Saccharomyces cerevisiae S288C: one gene and its partners. The protein of the gene in region 1 interacts with the protein of each later gene in a pairwise test. Each region holds a gene or a part of one and is shown in the gene's direction. Other genes may lie near its edges.

Region 1 (4,328 bases):
TGGCTACGGTTTTCTATTCCTTATCATTTTAGCCTTATCATACTTGCTGAAAAGTTGCAGATATCTCCACGCTCTTAAATGAAAGAAAAAAGGGCGTTTTCCTCCTGTATGAATGAAAGAAAAAATTCATGTTATGTGAGCAAGTAGGTAAAAAGAAAGAATAAAAGGTTCAGCTTTTCTATGTTCAGGATACAACTGAGAACTATGTCCAGCAAAACATGCAAGAGTGATTACCCAAAGGAGTTTGTCAGTTTCTTAAATAGCTCACACTCTCCTTACCATACAGTTCATAACATCAAAAAGCATCTGGTGTCAAATGGCTTCAAAGAGTTGAGCGAACGTGACTCGTGGGCTGGCCACGTCGCACAAAAAGGAAAGTACTTTGTGACAAGAAATGGCTCTTCCATTATTGCGTTTGCTGTTGGTGGAAAGTGGGAGCCTGGTAATCCAATTGCCATTACGGGTGCTCACACCGACTCCCCCGCATTAAGGATTAAGCCTATTTCTAAAAGAGTCAGTGAGAAGTATTTACAAGTGGGCGTGGAAACTTATGGTGGCGCTATTTGGCATTCATGGTTTGATAAGGATTTGGGCGTTGCCGGAAGAGTTTTCGTAAAGGATGCGAAAACTGGCAAATCCATTGCTAGATTGGTGGATTTGAATAGACCTCTGTTAAAGATTCCTACTTTGGCTATTCATCTGGACAGAGACGTAAATCAAAAATTCGAGTTTAATAGAGAAACTCAACTGTTGCCGATTGGTGGTCTGCAAGAAGACAAAACTGAAGCGAAAACTGAAAAGGAAATTAATAACGGTGAGTTTACCTCCATAAAAACGATAGTACAGAGGCATCACGCAGAACTTTTGGGGCTAATAGCCAAAGAACTCGCCATTGATACAATTGAAGACATTGAAGACTTCGAATTGATCCTTTATGATCATAATGCATCCACTCTAGGTGGGTTCAACGATGAGTTTGTCTTCTCTGGTCGATTGGATAATTTGACATCTTGTTTCACATCAATGCACGGTTTAACGTTGGCGGCTGACACAGAAATTGACCGAGAATCAGGCATTAGATTGATGGCATGCTTTGATCATGAGGAGATTGGCTCATCCTCCGCCCAAGGGGCAGATTCTAACTTCTTGCCTAATATATTGGAAAGGTTGTCCATCCTGAAGGGGGACGGTTCTGATCAAACTAAACCTTTGTTTCACTCGGCAATATTGGAAACTTCCGCTAAGTCGTTTTTCCTTTCATCTGATGTTGCTCATGCAGTTCATCCAAACTATGCAAACAAATACGAAAGCCAACACAAACCCTTATTGGGTGGTGGTCCCGTAATCAAGATTAACGCGAATCAACGTTACATGACCAATTCACCAGGGTTGGTCTTGGTGAAAAGACTAGCAGAGGCTGCTAAAGTCCCTTTGCAATTGTTTGTCGTAGCTAACGACTCACCATGCGGTTCTACCATCGGCCCCATTTTGGCCTCAAAGACAGGTATTAGAACTCTAGACTTGGGTAATCCTGTGTTGAGTATGCATTCGATTAGAGAGACCGGTGGCTCTGCAGACCTGGAGTTCCAAATCAAGTTATTTAAGGAATTTTTTGAACGCTACACTTCCATAGAATCTGAAATTGTTGTCTAAACTGCAATTGTTAGATGATTCATAATCCGGTATATTTATTGCCCTCTTTTGTATTTTACAAATAGTAAATATATATAATATCTTGTGATCTACATAAGCTTTCGCGGGGTCTTCAGAAAAATAAAAAGTTTTTAAAAGAATATACGCTTAGCAAAGGAATAGACAGATTTAGTTTGTACGCAAATAGTTTTTGAAGAAGGTAGCAGATTGATCAATTTTGTATGAGCGGAAATCTATCCTTAAACGCCAACTACTACATTACTTGCAATAAAAATGAGTGCAGATTTATCGATTGGTAATGAAATTAAAGATTCATTTAAGGAAACCCATAAATGGGTCCAAAATAACTTAAAATGGTTGAAGGACATTGAGCAATTTTATCGGGAAAGGGCTAAGTTAGAAAAAGACTACAGCGAGAGATTATCTCGCTTATCAGCAGAGTACTTTAATAAGAAGTCTTCGACCTCAGTTCCTATCTCGGTAGGTGACACACCTACTACCACGCCAGGGTCCATTGAAGCTGCAGGTGTGGTTGCATGGAATGAAATTCTATCTCAGACTGATATGATTTCCAAGGATCATGATCAGTTATCAACCGACTTTGAAAATCATGTAGCAAATCAATTGAGTGGATTATTCACTAAACTTGATATGACTTTGAGCAAGATAAATGGATTTAACAATGACATGGTTAATAAAAAGGATAACATTTACCACGAACTGGAAAAAGCGAAGAAGGACTATGATGAAGCCTGTTCCACTATGGAAATGGCAAGAAATAGGTATACCAAGGCATCTAATGATAGAAATAAAAAGAAGTTGGATGAAAAAGAAATGGAGATGAACAAGTGTAAAAATGAATATTTAATCAAGATCAACCAGGCAAATAGAACTAAGGATAAATACTATTTTCAAGATGTTCCTGAAGTGCTAGATCTTCTACAAGACGTAAATGAGGCAAAGACCCTTTTCTTAAATGATCTGTGGTTGAAGGCGGCTTCTGTCGAGAACGATCTGGGTGCAAATGTCAGCAAAAGACTCCAGGCGGCAAATTCTGTTGTCAAGCAGAATAAACCCTCTTTAAACACGGCCATCTTTATCAAGCACAATCTAAAGAATTGGAAAGAACCACAAGACTTTGTCTATAAGCCATCTCCAGTATGGCATGATGATGAAAAATTTGCTGTTCCCTCGTCGTTGGAAGTTGAAGACTTGAGAATAAAACTGGCAAAAGCAGAAAATGATTACAATTCATTGCAAGATAAAACTCAAAATGAGTTATCCAAACTGTCTACTTTGAACAAGATAAAGCACGAAATGAAAACTAATGAAGATAATATCAATGCCACTAAGTTTTATGATACACTAAAGGAATACTTAAATGTCGTTTCACCCTTTACCTCACACGAAACATTAAAATTGCAAGCCGAAGTTCAAATCGAAAGTATTCAGAATAATGTTCCTGAAGAATACGATTTATCCACAGACAATATTGATCTTTCCAAAACAAAGAAGAAATCCGGGATATTCAGTAAGTTCAAACACAACATCCTGAACGTCGACTCGAAGCCTTCGAGTGGAGGGAGCACTGGTAATGGCAACGGAGGACCCTTGCATATAACAAGTCTCTTCAACACATCAAGAAGAACTAGGCTAGGCTCTGCCCCTAACAACGCTGGTGAAGATTCAGATAATAATTCTATACGCACCACTAGTACCAACAATACAAAAAAGACCACACAAAATTCCAGTGATGACGGCAAGAATAAAGTGTTGTATGCATACGTACAAAAGGATGATGACGAAATCACCATTACGCCAGGAGACAAAATCTCTTTGGTTGCACGCGATACGGGTTCTGGATGGACTAAGATAAATAACGACACCACTGGGGAAACCGGCCTTGTACCCACCACATATATTCGCATATCTAGCGCGGCTACAGTTAAAGCAAATGATAGAGGCCCTGCACCAGAAGTACCACCACCAAGAAGGAGTACACTACCTGTTAGGACGATGGAGGCCATATATGCCTACGAAGCACAGGGAGATGATGAGATTTCAATTGATCCGGGGGACATAATTACTGTTATCAGAGGCGATGACGGTAGCGGGTGGACATATGGTGAATGTGACGGATTGAAAGGTCTATTTCCTACAAGTTACTGTAAATGAACGAAGGAATGAACTGAAACTATTAAATATTTTCCCTGGCCGCCACTTTTTTGAGAGGTATGACGACTCTATGTTATATATATATATATATATATATATATATATAGCACAAAATTTCATGTGATCAATCTACTAGGCGAACACCTAAATTGTTATTTATTTCCATGTCTATATCCATTTCAATGTCTGGCTCATCTTCGTCCTCGTTTTCGAATTCGGATTCAGATTCGGATTCCAAGGTAGTCTCCAAATCACAGTTTGTCCTACAGTTCGGACACATGAATTGAGGATAATTCATAATAACCAATCTTCTTACACAATGAAAATGCCAACTATGGGCACATGGTGATATAAAAATGGCTTGGCAAGGTTTTATTTTGTTTAGACAAATGGAACAGTCTTCTTGTTCTAAACCAGTAGTTAGTTTCTGTAGATTTTTTATTCGGCTCAAGGCTTCTTTATTAAATGCATTGGCCTTTAATTTCCAAGACTTGTTCAAT
Region 2 (4,544 bases), on another chromosome or scaffold:
GTAGAATATTTGAAACGGATAAGAACGGTCCTTCTAGAATTAGAAACTAAGCTGTCAAATAATGCAAAAGGCGACAATCCTACAGTTGATAACACTACAAGGCATAGTCGACTTGAAAACTCGTCTAATTCACTTGCCCCCTTACACGAAAGTCTTACCAGTTTAATTTTGGATTTGATATCTGTAAAAGATCGTAAGACGTCAATTTCTCCGAAAATAGTGATAAACACATTAGAGTCCATCTTTAAATCAAAGATCTCATCCAAACAAAATGATGCACATGAATTTACATTAATATTACTACAAACATTACAGGAAGAACGATCAAAATTGATCGATTACAGTAAACAGATATGTAATTTGAATATACCAAAGTTTCCATTTGAGGGCGAGACTTCCAAGTTTCTAGTATGCCTTAAATGCAAGGGTCTATCAGAACCATCATACAAACAGACTTTCATCCGCGAACTGTCCGTACCACAACAAACATCAGAGAATCTATCCAATATTCTAGCACACGATGAAACAGAAATCATAGACGACTATTCATGCCTGATCTGCCAAATAAGAGCAATCTTAAACCATGAAGAATATAGAAATTTCAAGGACTGTACCCCGGATGAAATTTTAATGTTGGACAGATTGAAAAATTATGCCACTAAAGCCCCAATTAACGAAAATTTACCATTCGAAGTAGAACAGTACGTCAAGCGTTACTCAAAGGGCAATTTGCAGGTATCTAATATAAAGGGAAAGGTCATCAAAAAAGATGTAGTAGTACAACTGCCAGACATATTAATTGTTCACTTATCGAGATCCACATTCAATGGTATTACATATTCTAGAAATCCCTGCAATGTCAAATTTGGAGAAAGAATAACACTTTCTGAATATACATTGGCTGAGAGTGGGACAATAACAGAAAACAGGCAAGTCAAATATAATTTGAAAAGTGTTGTGAAACACACCGGTTCTCATTCGAGTGGACACTATATGTGTTACAGACGCAAGACTGAAATTCGTTTCGGGAAGGAGGATGAATCTTCCTTCAGAAGAGCACCAGTTGTCAACAATGAAGTTAACAAGAATCGCGAGCAAAACGTTGCACATAATGATTACAAAAAAAGCAGATATAAAAAAGTCAAAAACGCCCTGCGGTATCCTTATTGGCAAATATCTGATACCGCCATAAAGGAATCTACCGCTTCAACTGTCTTGAATGAACAGAAATATGCTTATATGCTATACTACGAACGTGTAAATAAATAACCGCCCTGTACATAGGTATATTATAATAATAGTAAGTTACGCATCCATATCCACATCAGTATCCACTGCCATCATTTCAACATCGGTATCAGCCTCTCCATCATAAGTGTATTTCGAAGTCATTTGATTATGGAACCACTTCCACCAGCTTAGATAAGCAATTTCCTTATAATCTACCCATTTTATTATTTGTAGCCTTTTTTCTCTCAAACGTTCCCATATTTTGTCATAAAACAAGTCATTGTCGCCGCGTTTACTTGTGGAACACTTGATGATCTCTTTCAGGACCTTATCATCAATAGCGTCTGTGAATACTATATTGTTATGAATAAGATTGTTATCATCTGCATGTCCGTTCTTGGGCCCTTTATCATTTAAGGATAAATTCTCTAAATCTATAATTAGTCTTTTTCTTTTATAATTATCAATTCCTATTGGGTCTGGAGAATGATTTCTTTTCCTAATGTGGTTGGGATTGCCATTACTTCTTGCAAACCGGGAACTCATGGAATGAAAAAGTCATTTAAACGTGCCACTAGTTTTACTATCTGCTAATCGTTCTAGACGTGTAATATAAATCATATCCGAGCGCCGTTGTTGAATAATTTAATGCCTTCGTATTACATACATTTTGAAATTTGCTTTCGTAAAAGAGCGGTTCCCGGATAAAAAAGTGTGCAAATAACCGAGCCTTATTTGATTTCCAGTAAAGACCCAACCAAACGCATCATTGAAGCAAAAATAGATTAAAACTTACTGTTGTTCGTCTATTGAATTTTGTTCGGATTGGTGTGGTGTTTAATATCTTGGGCAGAAAGAGAATTGGCTTTATAGACACTCATAAAATCATCATTCCCCTTAGAGCAAAAGGTATTTTTAGAAGCCAAGAAGAAGAGCAGATAAAAAAGAAGTACGCCCTCTAACAATAAAAGTCAAATGGCTAGACAATTATTCACTCCTCCGATAACCAATCCAAGGTTTGACCCTAATCAATCCATCAGGGAATCATACAAGAACACAACTGGCGGCATGCAATTTCAACAAAATCTACATGAGGATCAAAATGACAATGAGAGAAGTAGCTGTGATGGTGATGAAAACTCTACAACAGGAGAAAGGCTAGAAAACAATAAGTCTCCTATATTGACAAAACAAGAAATTGACGAAGCGTTGAACACTGTCACCAATTTACCTCCAGAATTATCAAAATTAATTGACATTTTTATTGATGACCTAAAGCAGCCAAAGTACGTACGGCCACTATCAGTACTGCAATTGTCTAGTCTTTTCCAAAGCTTTTACATAAAATTTGATAAAGCATCATTCCAGCACGTCAGTTCAGCGAATAATAATGGCTATTATTTTTCTGGCGGGGGCTCTAGTTCATTCTTGGCTGCCAAAGAAACGTTAAGTAGTGGTCTTAGCGGAATTTTTGGCAGAAGTAGGAGTAGTAGTGGAAATTCACTTATGAGGCCAAGAAGATCTTCATCGCTTTTCAGTAATGAGTCAATATCAAATTCAACTAATGCCACACAAATGTTGTCACCTGAAGAGATAAAAAAGCAATTGAAAATCAACGAATTAAACAACATGAAAATCGAAAAATATATGGAACTTTGTGAAAGAGATGTTTTTAAGAAAATTCTTATAGTAGGCACATCCGTATCTTCACCGAATAAAATGAAAACCTTCAAACCACACCAATTACAAACTTTCAAGGTTGGAAATCTATTTAGAAACAGTGTTGAATTCACAGAATACAATAAGTTGTTGAATGAAAAAATCCTCTGTTTGTCCAAACTCTCAACAATGAATAAAATCAATTTGATAAAGTTTCTGAGTCTTAATAATGGCATTGATCCGGAACCAAAGTTTGAAGAGATCAAAGATATTTTATATGAGTTTACTTATCATTCGATTTCACCATGTGAAAAGATAAAGGCCCTACTGAAACTACATGAAATCATGACATATTCCCAAGAAATGTCTAATGATGATTATCTTTCGTTGCTAATCTACTACATTATTACGATTGTTCCACGGGATATTTTCTTGAATGCCGAATTCATCAGGCTGTTCAGATATAAGAAAAAGCTGGTCGAAACAGAATCCTTTGCATTAACCAATCTAGAAGCTGCATTAGTTTTTGTTGAAGGCTTAACCAAAAATGATTTTTCAAATGAGCTACAAGATAAATTGACTGTAAATGAAAGTAAAATTTTAGAAAATTCAATCAGCAGTAGAGTCTCATTGCCATCAAAAACTGCTATAATGCATAAAAACAACGGTAATAACGGCAGTAACCTAGGTGACATCGTGACTCCTACTATCCAAAGGCCAGATGTTACAAGATCGAATTCGTATGATGGCTTCAGGACCGTTTTTGATTCATCATTAAAAAATATCATCGGAAAAATTAGGTCATATACTCCACCACATCCTAACAATACTAGCAATAATAACCTTCACAGTAGCAACAACTTAAACATACCACGAAGTTCGTCTCAATTATCCATGGAATTGAGCAATAGAGATACAACAGAGATGTCTAGGGATGGCTCACGATCAACTTCATCATCTTCACGATCTTCAGCATCTTTAGAGCACGGAAATCGCGAATTTACCGGCGATTTGACAGTAACCGCTAGCATTAACGGTGCTGATAAAAAGGAGTTTCAGAAATCGTGGAAAAAATATAAAGGCTATAAATTTGAAGATTTGACTATTTGCGAACTAAGAGATCTTTTTGAGATATATCAAAAGATGATGCAATGAAACGTATATATGAAATCGTATGTATAGATGCGAAAGAGGAGGAGAGAAGGCTTTATTTCTGACTATCTTCCTCCACTAATTTGATTGATCAATTTATTTCACAATTCGGATAAGTGGTCTATTATATATAACAATTCGTCATGTAAATTGGTGGCGGTGTCGGAATGCGAAGCCAAATCAGGTAAATACTTATTTTCATTATCATTTTTTATCATATTCACTAATTGATTAATAAAATTTTTGGTGTAGGCCAATGAATTGGTGTCGAATTCCAGTATTTGAATCAGCTTTAGTTTTATATCTTTATCACTTGTCCTCAACAGGAGAATTCTTAGAATTTCATTGTGTTGCTCAGTTTGACCTTTCGTTTTAGTGAAGTTAAGGGCGTGGACGATGGGAAAAGATAACTTCCCCTCTGTAATGTCCTCAGCAAAGCCTTTTTCGCTGGACATTTGGAAATCTTTCAAATTCAAGTAATCATCTCTAATCTGATAAATAAT
Region 3 (5,842 bases), on another chromosome or scaffold:
ATTTTATGTAGTTGTGGAGCTTATATAAAGAAATGGACAATATTCGCAATCGCTTCTCAAAAGGGAAATATTTTCCCTTTTCGGGCGGTGGTCGTGTTGACAAATTTCCTAGTTAAGAACTAAGATTTGGAGATGGACAGATTCATTAATAAATTTCAAAATAAGCACAGAAAGCATCGAATTTTTAGCTCAAAACAATCTACTTTTCAATCATCAAAACAGACTATTGAATAAAGATGGGCAATGTGTCTGTGGCAGTGGGAACGGCAGTTGGGATTCCAATTGCTGTGGGCGTAATAATAGCCCTGATATTTTGGTGTAAATTACAACGACGTTACAAAAAAGAAGAGATTAGAGATGCTGATTTGGAGAAGATGGTAATGGAAGAAGTGGCAGTGTCGGTATATGATGGTTTTAAAGCCGAAATTAACAGCTCAAGTGAAGCTTCCACGATAAACGAAAAGGAAGCAAACCAGGATCTTAAACCCTGCCAAGAAAAAACCGCCAAGGCAGGGTACACACCAGCATACAGAAGGCAATTGAACGCTAGTATGGGGACTTTGCGTCCAAAAAAGCAGAGCACTGCATATACCAATGTCCCCGTCATTTTCAGCGGCGAAAAGGTGAATTATGGGATGGTCAGAGATCCTTCCTATAGTTTTATGTATCCACTGACGCTATCGCGCAAAGAAACGAGTAGTTTGAGATCAGCTTCTACGTCAAACTTGTCATCGAGCACAGAAAATACTGCGTTACACGAAGAAATAAAACTGGATGACCCATATGAAAACGATTTTACGAATTATACTGTCAACAAGAGAGAATTTATTGACAGCTTACGGCCACACTAATATATATGCATATAGATATATAAACGTACCTACATAGTTTTGCATTTGTATAGATACCCAGACCACTTGTAATAACGATAAAAATAAAATAATAATAAAGGATATTTACAGACAAATAGCACCATACTTGCTATTAAATTGGTGTCTTGGTATTTTCAGCTAGCAAATCGATCTTTTGGCCAGCGGCAGTGACGCTCCATTCATGAATCAAAAACTCTTCGTCGTGAGTGTTCCTATCGGCAACCAGTCTAACGGTTCCAGTAACGTTTTTGTCCCCCTTGATATAAAACGTAATGTTAATCCTACCCTTCACAGAGTTCAGTTCACCGTAGACCCAAGGGATGATACCATCAAATTCTATGCTCTCACCCAGTATGTTTTTAGTTGCTGGAGACCGTCTTATATAATACAGCGTGTTGGAGATAATGGGGGACTCCGTCTTTTCATAGTTGAAGATCAAAGATAGTGCGGACCCAATGGCCACAGAAAACAACAAAAATCCAGCTATTCGCTTTCTCCTCTCCGTGGTTGGGTCAGGCAATTCTCTGTCAATTCTCAATGGCCTGTTCTTGTCTTTCAAAACGATCTTGGCCTCATCTTCAGCGACACTATTATTGAATCTAGCGCTGGTAGAGAATGAGTGCAGCAAGGAACCACGCACTAGCACAGCCTTAGCTGCAGAAGGTGTCACTTTCGGCAACCCTTTAGTTACTAGTCTTAACATCATGTATAGTCTGTTTTATCTTTTACTTTTATGTCGTGGACTGGTACGGAGAGAAAGATCGAACTGTTTTAAAACTGGGATTAAAATGACAAGAAGGCGCTTTCTTTCTCTCCACAATGATCAAAACAAGAACAAGCAAAACGCAAAGAGATGACATTAGTAAGTACCCAAATGAGCTACTAACAACGCATCCGGTAATACTAACAAGAGAAATTGGTTAGGTAGGGAAACTAGTACACATATCCATAGATTTGGTCTTGGTATCAACGTGCCTCGCGGGGATTAAACGCAATACAGGTTTGACGCCTAAACTGGAGACTCTGGACAATCAGACTATGAGAAACTACATGAAGCGGTACTTGAACTTGGGAGAGTCTGTATACGACTATTCTGTTGCCACTTGTGGCTCCTCGACGTATTTCGCTAGGAAATAGGTACGTTTATATTCTATATATGTTGATAATATTTTGTATAACGGCACCCAGCCGGGGGCCAAAATTAATAACCGCAACTTAAAGAGCTATCGCTATCGATTACGCATAGAACTTTAAATGCTAGACGATGATAAGGGCACGGCCATGCATCCACATATAACGCCGTTCACGCCTGAGTACTCAAATGAATTACTGCGAAGGGTCCAGGACCTGTACCACGAAGATATCAAGCACTACTATCCGCAGCTAAAACTGGAGAAGCTGCTGGACCTTCTGGAGCATACAGAGTACCTATTCGAGTTATATCTAGATTCAATCCATCACGATAGGCCCAACGATGCACTGACAGCGTTTATCATTGGATGCTACTACGTGTTCTTAATTATTCCACAATCTTTGCAGTTCCAAACACGAAACAAGTCCTACAGCATCTATACAGATCTAAAAAAGATGTATGAGAATGAAATGAACATGACCAATGTTGTGCTTATGGTGAAGAAAGAAATCGGTGTGGTCCTAGATGAATCGGTTAAACACGGGGCCGGTATTGAGCACAGAATCACCAAGAAGAGGGCATTTTCAGTTCCAGCTGACGATCTTTCAGGTCAGGTAGCTTCACTATCACTTGACACCGCGGCACCGCAAGATCATGGCCTCAAAGGCACGTTTACTGAAGACGACGCAGAACAATCTTCACCTGTTTGGACAGCACCAAACTTAGAGCCCAACGACCAATTGAAACTGGCTTTATTGCCCGAAGTGATACCAACGCCAGCTTTTCGTGAGCCTGAAAGAAAGACAAGTGTTCCAGTGAGACCATCTGTTTTATTGGAAGATGTACCCTCCATATACCACGAGGATGACACTAGTTTCGCATCTTTGAACCCACCATTTCGAGAAATAACCGCAGATAGATCAGTAACTCATCGAAAGGATTCTTACCATTCTGTTTATATGGTGGATAGCGGCAACCTCAAGGAAGACAATGATGATCTGTTCAACGTTGAGAATGATGGCTTCATCCAGAGTTTGGATATTTTACAAAAGCAGAGTATAATCACAGCACCAGAATTGTTTAGTATTTTATCGAATCGCGTTGAACGTGAAAAGGTTTTACTCATCGACTTGAGAATACCACAAAGATCTGCAATAAATCACATTGTGGCTCCGAACTTAGTGAATGTGGATCCAAACTTGTTGTGGGACAAGCAGACGAACACACCTATCTACAAGGATGACATATTGGAACATTTACTGAAGGAGAATGAGAATTTTATAAACCGTAATAAATTTGATTACATTGTTTACTATACTGATGTGAAGACCTTCATGACTATAAATTTTGATTATGCATTTATTTTTTTTTATTTGATGCTGACTTCTCAGAAGACTCCTTTAACAACTGTACCTACTACCCTCTTAGGTGGGTACGAAAAATGGAAGAAAACTCTGCATTCGTATGCCCAGGAGTATCATATCTCTATTGAAGATTACTTGTACAGACCTTACTCACAGAAGGCGCGCTTACAACAGGAGCAGCAGCAGCAGCAGCAGCAGCCGGATTCTCAGGACTCTTTTTCCGCTAAGGAATCATCTACAAAAGTTCCTGAGCCTCCCTCCTGGAAGCCCCCTGACCTGCCTATAAGGTTAAGGAAACGTCCTCCACCTCCACCGCCTGTATCAATGCCCACAACCCCAGAAATTCCACCTCCTCTGCCCCCTAAGATAATGGTTCATTCACAAGTCAGTTCTATCTCTCGAAAGCCGCCAATACCAGCAAAGCAGCATGTCAAAAAGGAACAACTTAACTCCAATGAAATTATTCAAAGAAAAAGACAGCACCAGCATCAGCATTACGACCAACAAATATTACAACCGCAAAGGGCGTACAATATTCCAACTATTGAACGCAGTCCAAACGTATACGTTTCGTTGTCCATCACGGGACTAAGAAATTTGGGCAATACATGTTACATTAATAGTATGATACAATGTCTATTCGCTGCGAAAACATTCCGGACACTCTTCATTTCATCCAAATATAAGAGCTATCTGCAACCAATAAGGAGCAACGGATCTCATTATTCTCCTAAACTTTCGAATTCACTAAGTATGCTCTTCAACAAGATGTATCTAAATGGTGGTTGCTCAGTTGTCCCAACAGGATTTCTCAAAGTTATCAATCAATTGCGTCCCGATTTGAAAATTCCTGATGACCAACAGGATACCCAAGAGTTCCTAATGATACTTTTAGACAGGTTACACGATGAACTTTCCGACCAACAGCATGTAGCGAACGATTATCCGAATTTATTATTGTATAATGCAGATGCCCTAAAGGTTTCAAACAACGAATATAAGCACTGGTTTGACAAAAATGTCATTGGTAATGGTATATCTCCTATTGATGACATTTTTCAAGGGCAAATGGAGAACAGCTTACAATGTAAAAGGTGCGGTTACACTACTTTCAACTATAGCACATTTTATGTTTTATCACTGGCTATACCAAGACGTTCCATGAAGTTGAGTAAACTTGGTAGGTCTACTGAGAAAAGAGTTAAGTTAGAGGATTGTATTAATATGTTTACAAGCGATGAGGTACTCTCTGGTGAAAATGCATGGGATTGCCCACGCTGTGGCCCCACGGCGTCTGTGTCTACATCTGTGTCTGCATTAGAGAATGAGCCATCCATTGTTAAGAGTAAAAAGAAAAAAAGTCGGTTTTTTACATTACATACAGGAACCAAGCGTCGTCATCTCGACTTTTTTGGAGACGGTATTACTGAGGGCCATAATAGCAATAATAATAATACGACAATCTTTGAACGAGAAAGGTCCAGATCACCCTTCAGGATGTTGGGTGGTAGTGGGAAGAGGTCCAGTTCCAGTACACCGTTCAGTACTGGTGGTAATGATAGTAACAACTCGAGTGATTACAAGAACAAAAAATTGACAACAGTGAAAACGATAAATTTTGTAACTTTACCAAAAATCTTAGTCATCCATTTATCGAGATTTTATTACGATTTGACCAAGAAAAATAACACCGTCGTAACATATCCATTGATACTAAACATTATATTGAAAAACAATGACACTATGAAATATAAGCTATTTGGAGTGGTTAACCATACAGGCACATTAATCAGTGGCCATTACACGTCACTGGTGAATAAAGACCTTGAACACAATGTGAATATTGGGCGTTCTAAATGGTACTATTTCGACGATGAGGTTGTCAAGGCAGATAGGAAACATGGATCTGATAAAAACTTGAAAATTTCAAGTAGCGATGTCTACGTATTGTTTTATGAAAGGGTTTATGACTAGCAAAATTTTGCATTTTTTTTTTTGCACCATAAATATGTATTGCGTATGCACCAGGACGTTGAAGAATATTATTTAGTGTTTCTATATTTTATGATAAAACTAGAGATAAAGGGGATAATTAAAACGATATTAAAACGGAAGTCTACACAATGATTATATAGATTATATTATGTATTGGAAATAGAATATAAACACTAGGAAGGTCATAATTTGAAGATCAATTGTAGTAGTAGAGTCTATTACCTCTTTTTTTTTTTTTCTTCATATATTTTTGTAGTTTTTTTAGTTTACTTTAACTCTTCCATTAAGGAAAATAGGTAATAATAGCGATTTCATTGCCATTACCACCATTATTATTATTGTTATTACTATCATTATTATTATTATCATCATTACCATTATTATTACTCTTGTGAATGTTATCTTTGTCACCCTTAACTATCATGATCGATTTAGACACCAAACGTCTTGATGAAGTTCACAGTTTTTTCAAGTTCCCA
Region 4 (4,588 bases), on another chromosome or scaffold:
CTCTTAATTCTGTAAAAATAATAACCCTCGAGTCGGAACCCCTTTTCTGAAAAAAGTCCATTAGTTCATCTCTAACACATTGTAACTTCCCATGACCGACAAACTTTGGATCACTTAAATAATTTTCGCATTGATTTTTGATGTTTTTCAAAATCGGATGGTAATAAAACTCAGCTGCAATTTTATTAGTAGATTTTTTAAGATTATATTTCGTAGTGAATTCTGTACATTTATTCTGGAAGTAATTGAAAAATGTCCTTATTCCATAAATTTTTAATCTCTTTAGCATTTGACCCACATTGTTCAATAACTGTAAAATAAAGAAGTTCCTCCACTTAATTCCTTCAGGTATAGTAGGGTTAGCAATAATTTTTTGGCTTTGTTGCATGGCTTTGAAGGCGTTTATTTGTGAAGGGTCACATTCCTCATATATACCGAGTTCAATTGCCTGTTGAAGCACTGGTTTGACGGCCATACCTAATTGTTCGATTATGTCTTCAATTTCCAACAAAAGGGGCACTTCAATTTTTTCCTTTTTTCTTTTCTTCATATATTTCACGATATCCATGCTTTCTTCAGTCCTAATTTCAATCTTGGAAATATCTAAGTTATTAACCACTTCTTGGACACCTTCCAGGTCAGAGGCTGGTGTAGCGGTCAATGCTAATAATCTGTATGATGAATTGAACCTATCTATGAATTTTACCACATTTGTATACGCAGAGGAGCCAGTAGCTCTGTGAGCTTCATCGATGACAAGACATACAATATCCTTAGGATCCAATACACCCCTCTTCAAGTCATTCTCCACTACTTGCGGTGTGGCAAAGAAAACTCTCTTATTGGCCCAAATTTCTTCTCTATTTTTCCTGCTTTTATCGAGTAATATAGCAGTTTGATCCGAAGGTATTCCTGTTATACCTAAGCATGCCTTAATTTGCTGGGCTACCAAAGGTCTTGTTGGAGCAGTAAAGATTATTTTGGCTTTTTTGGTCCAACGAAAATAATTTAACATTACTGTACTGGCAATGAACGTTTTACCCATACCCGTTGGGATGGCGCATAACGTATTTTGAAACAGTGATTTGTGAACAATTGTATACTGATAATCCCTTACCTCGTAATTTGTAGGGTACACGTAGAACGACAAAGCATCGTAATCAAGCTCATGATGAGTGGGTCCAAAACTGACATCTCTTTGAATTTCTTCGTACACAGTTTTCTGCCCAGGTAAAACGTTATCATGAAGGTCTTTTTGAACTGGTACAGCACGTCTCGTTATAGTTTCCTTCACAGATTTATTGATAGCCTTTTCATACAGTTTATCCAGCTCGTCATCTTCGAAATCACTAAAGTAATCATCTGCACTAGCCATCAGAGAGAAAAAAGGACACTAAAATAAAACAGAACCGGAATGTGTTGAATAAAACTGAAGTGAGCTACTATATCTTGAATCACAATATCTTAGCTCCGTGATAGAGCATAGGGCACCTCTATTGATCTCTTCGTGATGCCCGGTTATATACACACGTAACCCCGTAAAAGCCGTTACCCGGTTTATGTCTTTCTGTGAGCACAGTAAGCTAGGAAGGTCGATGGAGAAGAAGACTCCTGTCTCATATGGAACAACCTTGCAAATTGAGTGCAATTATCCCCTTTGGAGTTTGAATTTTGTGTTAGTACATTCTCCTTTTTTAACTTGTCTTTTCTACCACATGCACAATGAAAGCAATCTTGTTTTACCAGGCGCGAAGCAAAAGAAAAGGAGAAATATTGAGTATATTTTAATTTAAGCTTTCTGATTTAGAAAGTATCATGTTTTGTTGGTGATCTAACAGGAAATCTATTTTGACCGATTATACAATGCCATCGGAAGTTACGCCAAAAGTACCTGAGAGGCCCTCAAGGAGGAAGACATCTGAGCTGTTTCCGTTATCCGGCTCTGAATCAGGAGATATTAAAGCTAATAGCGAGCCACCAACACCAGCAGGAACGCCCAATGTACCAACACGTAGACCCATACTTAAAGCAAAGACGATGACTTCGTTTGAGAGTGGTATGGATCAAGAGAGTTTGCCCAAGGTACCATTGCAGAGGCCAGTTAGACGCTCCACTACTGAAGAACTAAATAATGTAATGAATAACACCAGTAAGGAGTTAGAGGAGATTGAAAGTTTGATTTCAAAGCACAATATACACAATGTTTCCAGGAAAAAAAGTCCAACTTCTGTGGAAGAGGGAAAGGTGGCCGCCATTCATCAAAACGGGCAAAGAAGTGCATCAGATAACAAAACTTCTACAAATCCCTCCCCACTCGAAAAAAATGAGCACGAGGGTGCTGAGGGCAATGAGTCTGCTATTTCACCTTCTAATTTAGTTAACAAGTCTAATAATGAAGTGACAGAGCATAGTGACTCCGAAGACCTTACTGAAAAGCAAAAGGTACATGCTGCCCTAGATAATGAGGCAGGGGATAGAAGCCATTTTGAAGAAAAGCTCATTCCTGGAGATATGAAAGTACAGGTAGATGTTAGTAAGGACGTAGAAGAAGGCAGCCTCAATGCTCTGCCTCCATCTGGAATCACAGAATCAGACGACAAAGCTGAAAAGTTCACTAAACATCCTGAATCTAGTTTAGAAGAGCTACAGAAGCATCAAGAACAACAGGAAGAAAAAATTTTCCAAAATCCAACCGATGAAGAAAGTACTACCTCTTTGAATGAGAAACAAGAAGGCAAGGACAACATGGAAGTGAATTCTCAGCCGCAAGGACCTTCTGATACTGAAACAGTTATAGCAGCAACTAGCTCAAACGTTCCTTCACAAATTGCAAGTGAAGAGGAAAATGACGTTCCAGTGATTCCAAGGAGTAGGCCTAAGAAGGATTTTGAAGCACACGTACAAAAAGAGGAGTTGCCTAACACACAAGAGAAGCGAGTATCAGAAGAGTGTGATTCGACCCTAATTAGTACCGAAGAGGAAAGTAAAATCCCAAAAATTCCCTCTGAAAGACCAAAGAGACGTGCCCCACCTCCGGTTCCCAAAAAACCTTCTTCAAGAATTGCGGCCTTTCAAGAAATGTTACAAAAACAACAGCAACAAGATCTGCATAATAATGGTAATTCTTCAGCTACTACCGCTTCAGCAGATATTGCTAAAAAACACACAGATTCTTCTATTACTAGCGATACCACGAAGGCAGATTTTACGAGCAAATTGAATGGACTGTTTGCGCTACCTGGTATGGTGAACCCTGGACAGCTTCCACCTTCCTTGGAGAAGAAGTTGTCCTCCCCGGATACTGAATCTAAGCTAGGACCCCAGGACCAATCACAGGCAAAAACGGGACCTCTGGGCGGAACTAGAAGAGGTAGAGGACCTCGTGGGCGTAAATTACCTTCTAAAGTAGCTAGCGTAGAGAAGATTGAAGAAGATGACAACACTAATAAAATAGAAATATTTAACAATTGGAATGTTTCCTCTTCCTTCTCTAAGGAAAAAGTCTTAATAGATACTACTCCTGGTGAGCAAGCAGAAAGGGCCTTGGATGAAAAGTCAAAGAGCATTCCCGAGGAACAACGAGAACAATCTCCAAATAAGATGGAGGCTGCTCTTTGTCCTTTTGAGCTGGACGAAAAGGAAAAGTTACCTGCTAATGCTGAGTCGGATCCTCTTTCTCAGTTGCCACAGACGAACGCCGTAGGTAATAGAAAAGCCATAAGTGAGGAATCTCTGTCCCCATCGGAGGCCATCGCCAACAGAGATCAAAACGATACGACAGAAATACAGGAACAGCAGATGGAGGACCAAATGGAGGTTGATATGGAAAGAGAACTCTCAGGTGGCTACGAAGACGTTGATTCTGCCTTACATTCAGAAGAAGCGTCTTTTCACTCCCTTTAGAATCTTATAAATAATATGTATGAATAAACTCTATAGTATGTATCAAGAGAGAAATATGTGAATGACGAGCAAACTAGAGGTGTTATTAATAATAATGGCATAAAAACTAGATTTTATTCTATATATATATATATATATTTCTTCGACTTTTTTTTTTTTTACCCGCACACCCTGAATTTTGTGCTATTTTGAAGCAGAGCGTACTGAACAAATTGGCAGATTTACAAGAGGAATAACAGAGTTATGCTAAATCATTAAGTGTTTCTTGCGGCCAGAAGGGGCATTATACAAAAGATATGGTTGTTGATACTGAGTATTACGATTTGTTAGGTGTGTCTACCACTGCATCTTCCATTGAAATAAAAAAGGCCTATAGAAAGAAATCTATTCAAGAGCATCCTGATAAGAATCCCAATGACCCCACGGCTACCGAAAGGTTTCAAGCAATATCCGAAGCTTATCAAGTTTTAGGTGACGATGATCTTCGCGCAAAGTATGATAAGTATGGAAGAAAAGAAGCTATTCCTCAGGGCGGCTTTGAAGATGCAGCTGAACAGTTCTCTGTCATCTTTGGTGGAGATGCGTTTGCCTCATATATTGGCGAACTGATGCTATTAAAGAACCTACAGAAAACTGAGGAGCTAAATGCTGAAGACGAAGCTGAAAAGGAGAAGGAGAATGTGGA

The links.
Region 2: the proteins of BZZ1 (region 1) and MUK1 interact in a two-hybrid assay, tested with the Saccharomyces cerevisiae proteins (one study listed by BioGRID).
Region 3: the proteins of BZZ1 (region 1) and UBP7 interact in binary tests that used the Saccharomyces cerevisiae proteins (3 or more experiments, as listed by UniProt).
Region 4: the proteins of BZZ1 (region 1) and AIM21 interact in binary tests that used the Saccharomyces cerevisiae proteins (3 or more experiments, as listed by UniProt).

The regions. Positions count from the first base shown.
Region 1 is NC_001140.6:336,157-340,484, forward strand, and holds BZZ1 (Bzz1p), read left to right. Parts: upstream 1-1,926; coding exon 1,927-3,828; downstream 3,829-4,328. Other genes in the region: APE4 (aspartyl aminopeptidase), read left to right, coding at 181-1,653; ubiquitin-conjugating protein DMA1, read right to left, coding at 3,953-4,328. UniProt on the Saccharomyces cerevisiae protein: Plays a role in endocytosis and trafficking to the vacuole. Functions with type I myosins to restore polarity of the actin cytoskeleton after NaCl stress.
Region 2 is NC_001148.4:418,743-423,286, forward strand, and holds MUK1 (guanine nucleotide exchange factor MUK1), read left to right. Parts: upstream 1-2,205; coding exon 2,206-4,044; downstream 4,045-4,544. Other genes in the region: putative ubiquitin-specific protease UBP16, read left to right, coding at 1-1,269; YPL071C (uncharacterized protein), read right to left, coding at 1,306-1,776; BTS1 (farnesyltranstransferase), read right to left, coding at 4,143-4,544. UniProt on the Saccharomyces cerevisiae protein: Putative GTPase-activating protein.
Region 3 is NC_001141.2:45,965-51,806, forward strand, and holds UBP7 (ubiquitin-specific protease UBP7), read left to right. Parts: upstream 1-2,126; coding exon 2,127-5,342; downstream 5,343-5,842. Other genes in the region: AIM20 (Aim20p), read left to right, coding at 237-851; COA1 (Coa1p), read right to left, coding at 985-1,578; ATG44 (mitofissin), read left to right, coding at 1,726-1,734, 1,797-2,009; GUT2 (glycerol-3-phosphate dehydrogenase), read right to left, coding at 5,795-5,842. UniProt on the Saccharomyces cerevisiae protein: Involved in the sorting of ubiquitinated cargo proteins at the multivesicular body (MVB).
Region 4 is NC_001141.2:359,022-363,609, forward strand, and holds AIM21 (Aim21p), read left to right. Parts: upstream 1-1,863; coding exon 1,864-3,903; downstream 3,904-4,588. Other genes in the region: MPH1 (3'-5' DNA helicase), read right to left, coding at 1-1,375; DJP1 (Djp1p), read left to right, coding at 4,200-4,588. UniProt on the Saccharomyces cerevisiae protein: Involved in mitochondrial migration along actin filaments.